Linked DNA regions of Canis lupus familiaris. The protein of the gene in region 2 interacts with the protein of the main gene of each other region in a pairwise test. Links are inferred from orthologs where the notes say so. Each region holds a gene or a part of one and is shown on either strand. Other genes may lie near its edges.

Region 1 (4,183 bases), on a different chromosome or scaffold from region 2:
TCCACGGAGGTAGGCAGGGGCAGGCTCTTAGCTTAGGCAGGCTACCCCAGCACTTTTCTCTCTGAAGAAGAGCCTGGGAAGGGTCAGGGCACCGATTATCTCAGAGTGACAGCCCCAACTTCAGAGTGGTCATGACAGTCAAGGAAATCGTGGAAGTAAAGTCCACATATGTGCCTGGATCTAGCCCAGTGTCAGCGTTTTCACTCCTTCACCCCCAGCTCTGCCCCAGACCTCACTTGTGAAGCCCCACCCCCCCGGGCTAGGTATGTACTGCTTCCTCTGAGGTTCGCTAGTTGGTCTGCATGACCAACAGCTCCAGGGTAACACCACCTCCCTTCAGACTCAGCTAGCCGAAGCTCCTGGTCCCTATATCTGAGGTCCCCAGGTGCTGGTGGTTTTGTGCACAGGGAGGGCCCGGGAGGTTGACTGGGGCTGGCGTTGGACCATCTCTAGGAAATGCCCCTCCCTTCTTTGAAAATACATGCACTATATGCTGGGCACAGTGGGGGATATGAAGGTGAGTCTGTGACAGGTGCTCCCAGGGAGCTCCCAGACCGGCAACAGCTCCTATTTACTAAGTGGTTTCTACGTGCCAGGCATCATGCTGAAGACATGACACAAATGGTCTCATTTAATACAAGATAGGTGCTATCATCCCCATTTTATACATGAGGAAGATAGGCCTTTAAAGTCGCACAACTACTAAACAGCTAGGTTATGAGGCTAGCATGCTGTCACCAGAACCCACATTCTACCACACTACCCTGCCTTCTGAGCACAGTAACAAAGTATGAGGGAAGGTGGTGTGGGATGGGGACAGCATCAGGAGCAGGGAATGGAGGAACTGCCCTTCCACCAGGCTAGACACTAAAGCTGGCTTAGCTCTAGCTTTCAGGTCTTGAATGTCATAGGTCAGTGGTTTCAAACAGGGGTAATTTGGGCTCCCTCCCCTTCCCTCTCACGAGAAGAGCTCTGGCGAAGTCTGGAGGCCTTTCTTTTGGTGTTGTTTTGGGGTTTTTTGTGATTGTCACAAATGGGGTGGTGGTGGGGAGGATGCTCTAGTGGGTAGAGACAAGGGATAACACTATACCTCCAGGGCACCTGGGTGGCTCAGTGGTTCAGTGTCTATCTTTGGCTCAGGGCATGATCCTGGGGTCCAGGGATAGAGTCCTGCATCAGGCTCCCCGCAAGGAGCCTGCTTCTCCCTCTGCCTGTGTCTCTGCCTCTCTCTCTCTCTCTTTCATAAATAAAGTCTTTAAAAATAAAAAATAAAACTTCCACCAATGCACAGGGCAGCCCCCACAAGAAAGAATTCTCCAGCCCTGAATGTCAAGAGTCCTGAGGTTGAGAAACCCTGCAGTGAGGGTCACTGAGGCAGATGAGTGACTGAGAAGAGTGCTGGTCAAGGTGAACAAGGTCTGACTCTGTCTCCGATGCTGACTCTTCTCCTTTCTGGGCCTCAGGATCCCAGCTGTAGCCACAAGTACAAACAAGGTACAGCAAAGGTGGAAGCTGGGGTGGGGCAAGTCAGGGAGGGTGTGGAGAAGGTCCCGTTGCAAGAGGCTGGCTAATTAATCCTAGGCTGTGACTTTAGACTGGGGTCTGGGTGAGGGGGAACTTTCTCCCTACTTCTTGCTCTGTTAGGTTTGCTGGGAAGGTCAGCTTCTTTTCTTTGAAGTCTTTTCCCTTTGACTCTGGATCACACAGAGAGCCTGGAATCCCTGGCTTTCTGAGGCCCATCACACCCTGGGGGGCTGTCACACGCTATGCCCAATGCTGGAACCAGGAGCAGCCCTGGCTGGGCCTCTCCTGAGTCTGAGGTTGGAGCTTGGCTCACCTGGGGCTGAGGTGCTGGCCCACTGAGGCTCATGCCCAGAACTTTCTTTAGACGGAGGATCCTGGGCAGATCATGACTCAGCTGCAGTCTCTGGTCCCTCAGGGAGACGTGGGAAGCTGTCCCCAAGAGGAATGGGCTGGGGGTTTCCAGACTCTTCTTGCCCATGAAGTGACCTAGAAAGGTGGTGCCAAGGCACAAGGAAGTTGGGGAGCAAGGATTCTATCCCAGTGGGAAAGTTCCCCACCTCTCCCAACTTTCAGTTCTCATGCTGGGAAGATCCCCGATCAATCTTCCTCCTCCTCCTCAAGGAGACACAAACACCCCTGGGTGGTGGCAAAGCCTGTACCGCCGCTTCTCCTGAACAGGAAGAGATGATGGAGAGGATGGTACAGCTGGAAGGAGGTTAGATGGCAAAGGGCCAGTGGGAAGCTCTGCCAGTTGTGCTGCCTGCTTACAAGAGGGACAAGGCAAGGGCAAGGAGGAAAGTGGAGAGTGAAGAATTGTCTGGAAGGCGAGGTGCAAAGAGAAGACACACCAGAGGTTGGAAGACTCAGTAGTAGACCTGCCTAAGGCAAGGGGCACTGGCTGGCAGGCAGATCTAGGATCCAGACCCAGCTCTGCTTTAACTGGCTGAGTGATGTGTCTGGGTGTCAAGTTTTCCATCTATTAGACAAGTTCCAGGGTCCTCACCAGCGCAGACACGAGTGTCCGCGGCCGAGAAACGGCCTGAGAAAGAAAATGGGATCAGAGCAGGGTGAGGGGCGCTTGCCCGGGTCCCGAAGACTTACCGGTGGCCCAGAGGTTGCCCCGCGGGTGCACTCGGATCTTGATGGCCCCGCTGCGATGCTCTGGGGTACCCCAGCTGAGCGGCGCGGCCCCGGCAGCCGCAGCGAGCAGAGCGAAGAGCAGCAGCCCGCTGAGCAGCCGAGCGCCCCCCGCCCGCAGGGTCATGGCTGCAGCCTCGCCGCTCCTCCAACCCCTGTGCACTTCGCAGCCGCCGAAGCCGCGGCGCCCTCCTTTCCTCCTTTTAAACCCGCGCCCCGGGGGTGGGGCGGAGCCTGTCCGGAGGAGCCCGCCCCCCGCGCTCGCAGCAGCCCCAGCCCTGCCCCCAGAACGCCCCGCCCCGCAGGACCCCCCGCGCGGCGCGCTTGCGCTCTCGCGCCCGCCTTGGCCCTGCTTCCACTACTGGGCGTTGGCGTCCACGCCCACTACCCTCCGGCCGAGGACCCTGACCCCGGGCAAAGCCCGTTTCCTCGGTGACCGCCTCGCTGCTCCCACTGGCTGTCGGCCCACGAGTGGTTACTTCGCTTTGGAACCTCTGTAAGAGTAGGGTTGAGGACCCTCGCGCTACAGTGCCCCGCAAAGTGCCAAGCACCAGGAGAGCCATAAAAATGCCTGCCAGCCCCTCCCTCTTAGGGAATGTGACCCATGTTCACTCTGCTCTCTGCCTTCTCACCGCCAGCACTCCCCAGGTGGTGTAGAAACCACAGCAGGTGCTCCAGCTGACAGTGCAGAATGATGGATGGTGAGATAGTGAGTACCCCCAACCCCAGGAATGAACGCTGTATACCACTTGGGCAGGAGGCAGCTTTCTGGGGACCAGACCAGGAGTTCATATACAAATTGTGCGATTCCCCTGAACCTCAGTTTCAACTGTAAAATAGTAATAACTATTACCCTATTTGTAATAATTTTACATTTAGCACAATTATTTTGTGGCAGGAAGGAGCAGTCCTATAGGACTGCCCTCTCACAACCAGCATTTTCCTCCTCCCAAGTCCAGACTTGTTTTGGAAAGAACTATTGGGTCACTGCCATCACTTAATGAGTAAAACGCTGTGCTCCAGAATAATACATTTATTTTTGCCTCAATGTTTTGCTTAAATGTTCACTAAACACCAACCTTCAGGAGCACCATGCTAGGCACAGGAGAGGAAACAAGATAATTCAAGGGAGTTTACCATCTCGCTGGGGAAACAGTGCCAAAGGAATGAATGATGAAGGAGTGGGGTGCAGACCAACCCTGGGATTCTGGGCTCTTCCCTGAAACACTGCATGGTTTAGCTGTGACTGAACCTACTTCCCAGTCTGGCTCAATAATGGTACTTGGTATTATTACCCTTTCATGTATCTAGCTCAGCAAGGCCTGCTAACTCTATGGATCACCACTCTAAAAGGGAAGGTGAATTAGGAGAGGCTGGTTATCATGTTGAGTTCCTAGGTGCATGACACACAGGAGAGGGACACTCCATTTCTGGCCCTGGCTTTTCCCCCAGTCTCCTAGCTTCTCATCCCCCACTCTGGCATTTACACCTCTGCATTCTCACTGCTCAGCCATGGTGTACA
Region 2 (3,644 bases):
CAGATTTACCTTGTTTGTCAAACATCAACATGAACATAATCTCAAAGATTTCTGAAATAATTTTACCAAAAACTCACCAAATAAGTTCTTATATAATGTAGAGTCGATTTCTTTTAAACAACTTTTGAAGATGTTGGCAGCAGAGTTTCCTTTAACTAAGACAGTATCAATCAGTTCTCTCGCTTGCAAAGGTATCTGTGTTTTTTGTTTAATGATATCATGTTCCTGTTTATTAATTACATTGGCCTTTAAAAGATTATCCAGGATAGGAAGCACACAAGTCAACTGTTGAAAAAGAGCCATTCTATTCCTCCGAATTAATGACAAATCATCTTCATTTAAAAGAAAGAAGAAAAAAAAATCCATTAGATCTTAAAGTGCTCCAACGATACTCACATAGTCACTAACAACCAAACCTACCAACAATTTAGACGCTAAATAAATAGGTGCTTGAAAAAGCACAAAATTACTTGTTTGCACTTAAATTTAATGTCTATCATTTAGAAAACTTCTGGAAGATTCAGCTAAAGCATATCATATAGTACACACAACACACAGGGTCTCTGTTGTTGTCACTTCTAAAAGTGGAGATATTTACATGTCTTAGAACCCTGCTATTCCATAGAAAGAAAGCAGAGAATTTTAAAGACCAGTAAAATAAATAAATAAATAAATAAATAAATAAATAAATAAATAAATAAACAGATAAATAAATACCAGTAAAAACCTGCCACCTCTGTACTTTCTCCCCTATGAAATTAATAATACTGACTTCTATTTGCATCATACCACTTTAGTTTTATAAGGGCTTTCGTATAAACTCCCTTATTTGATACAAAAGATCCTGTCAATTAAACAAGCAGGTAAGACTACTTCTCATTCTCAAATATGGAGGAAAAGAAACTCAGAAGATGAGTGACCTCCCCAAAGTCAGAGAAAGAATCCGTTGCAGAACCAGTGCCCTGGATGAGTGTCCTTTTCACCCTGGGCTTCACCACTTCAAGAGGAGGGGAGGACAGTAGTGGTACTCATCCCGCCAGGACAGGCCTAGGATCCCATGCCAGCCAGGCTGCTTCCTGGCCCTGTGCCCTCAGCCCTGTCACTTCCTACATCAATCTACTTAACAAAAAAATGTTTTCAGGTCTTGCACTATGCTAAAATGTTTTGTTTGCAACTTATTTAATTCTCACAGTAACCTTGTGCAATTTGTACTATGATCTCCACTTCATAGAACCGCAACCTTCATAGAACCTGTTTTCTTCTGACAGAGCCAGGATTAAAACACGAATCTGTTTCAATATCAAAATCAGACTTTGCATTTTTCTACACGACCACACAATGAGGTTCTCTTAAACCATTTCTATCATTACTTACCAGGTTCAACACAAAATGTCTTCCAGCCTGAACTCCCAATCCACACTGTCTACGCACCCCTCACCTCTGCTGGTTCTTTTGTGTACTAGACTCCACACCTCATCCACAATCCCCACAGGTAAGCACCATAGTTACCACTACAGCACAGTATCTGACAGGTGTTCACGCTCCATTTGTATTTGCTGAAGGAATGATTTCTCAAGAGACTTATTTAGGAAGTCTAAAGCTTAGCACGACCTGCATGAACACCACAATCAGCTCCCTGATTGGCTCCCCACTGTCTCTGGGCTGGGCAGGGGCTTTTCAAGCCCTAGGACTTCACCACCAGTTCCATTTTTGTATAAGGACCACTTAGCAAGGATCAGGGAGTCAAACACCATGGTAAGGATAAGATTTCAAGGAAATTTTTTAAAACACTGAAAGAAGACCTCCATTCAACTTTAAAGTCTTCCTTTCTTCTCATATATAACAATTTAAATTTGTTACATAGGAGAAGAAAAGCAATATACTTCAAGAAGTTAGGCTAAAATCCGGACTGGCATAAATCACAGATCTTGTTGGAAAATAAACATATTCTAGAAAGCTACAGTCCAGTCTGAGCACTGCCCACAGTGCAGAAGGGGATGTGTGTCGGAGGCTCCTGGCACTGCTGCCAGGAGTTAGTGGACAGATGCTGGTGCTCCTGCAACGGGTCATCCAGTCCCGTGACCCTCACGGAAATAGGGCGGGTAATTAACATTCCCAAGTACCTGATGCCATTTCTTCAGTTTGTCTTTCCTTCTCTTCCTCCCGGGTCTCATCTTCAGCATTAAGAAGTGCTAACACAATCTCATTAACTGTTCTGTAGTTCTCCCCAGTGCTCAGGATCTTACTCTGCACGGTCTGCCTCACCAGGATCCTACTGAAGCCCATCTCCAAGGCGGCCTTCACCACCGGGGTGTTCATCATGACTGTGTCTTCTGAATGGTTTTCTCCAGGTCCAAAATGGACAACTATTTGAAAAGACATGTACCAATGTTAAATCCCACAAATGTAAAACTACAGAGAAAAATGATGACTATGGCACAATCTTTCCTCTCCTGCTGCTCATATCCTGGTATGGCACATAAGCTTTATGCACCAATTACCTATAATTCCAACAAAAGTATGAATGCAAGAGGATCAAATAAGAATGTAAAAATATGCTATCCTTTTTTAAAATTCCACTTCCCACACTACACCCTGGAACCTACTTAATGAGCGACTCAAAGCACAGGGCTTAGGAATCCATGTTTTTTTTTAAATTTCTGAAATGATTCCAACATATGGTCATTTTCAGGAACCAATATGCTACACAACTGTAGGAATGCTACAAGAAAGCAGGGAAACCAACAAAGACTTCATTAAAGGTGGCGTCAGAGTCTGGACTTGCCAGGATACATGAGATCTAGAGAGGTGGACAGATAAATCCGAGAGTAACATAGATGTAAGGAGAGTTAAGACTAGTTCATGCAAAATATGTCTAACGACATAAAAATATGACTGAAGAAGTCATTTGATTTCAGACCATGATATAAAGAAAATCAAGCTGTGAAAAGTGATTAAAATAACCCAGGAGGGAAGAAAACAACTGACATGGTGGAGCAGGGAAGCACTTCCTAGAAACAGAGTCAGCACTGACCAACTTGACACTTTGGTGGAAATGACAAGAAAACATCATTCTACATGATGCATGACAGCCACCTGCTGGCAAAGTGTTCTAATAATCATGTCTCTCCAAAGCCGCCTGCAGGTGGTCTCACACACACACATACACACACACACACACACACACACACACACACACACACACACACACACAGAAAGCCAGTCTGAAGTGGCAACATCAGAACAAGCATGTGAATGAATAAAGAGGAGTTATGGGAGTATCTCAAAGAAATCCTGACACATTCAAGAACTAGAGACACAATGGTGAAAGGCACCCAGAGATGAGGATGATCCCCAGATCTCATAGTAAAGCCTCGCCAGCTTATCTTTTACTCTACATGTACTAGAATGTTTTCTATACATCTTAAGTGAAGGATGTTAAGACCGGATTTGTTTTCTCAGATGATGATTCTGGCAGCTCTGTGATAAACTTTAATGAGCTAAGATGGAATGAGGAGACCCGCCAGGAAAGCACGACAGTGATGGCAGTTTGCACTAGGCTGATAGTGCCAGATGGACATGGAGAGAGGCACGCAGATTCAGGCATGTGAGGAAGGCAGGGATGAAAGGACAGCCAACAGATG

The links. The genes of interacting proteins can lie anywhere in the genome.
Region 1: the proteins of BIRC2 (region 2) and NMB interact in binary tests that used the Homo sapiens proteins (3 or more experiments, as listed by UniProt). The two-hybrid records come from large-scale screens. The link is inferred for Canis lupus familiaris from reciprocal best matches to the Homo sapiens genes BIRC2 and NMB.

The regions. Positions count from the first base shown.
Region 1 is NC_049224.1:54,417,371-54,421,553, forward strand, and holds the start of NMB (neuromedin-B), read right to left. Parts: upstream 2,899-4,183; 5' UTR 2,789-2,898; coding exon 2,626-2,788; intron 2,011-2,625; coding exon 1,838-2,010; intron 1-1,837. UniProt on the Homo sapiens protein: Stimulates smooth muscle contraction. Induces sighing by acting directly on the pre-Botzinger complex, a cluster of several thousand neurons in the ventrolateral medulla responsible for inspiration during respiratory activity.
Region 2 is NC_049226.1:29,436,961-29,440,604, forward strand, and holds part of BIRC2 (baculoviral IAP repeat-containing protein 2), read right to left. Parts: intron 2,367-3,644; coding exon 2,124-2,366; intron 333-2,123; coding exon 78-332; intron 1-77. UniProt on the Homo sapiens protein: Multi-functional protein which regulates not only caspases and apoptosis, but also modulates inflammatory signaling and immunity, mitogenic kinase signaling, and cell proliferation, as well as cell invasion and metastasis.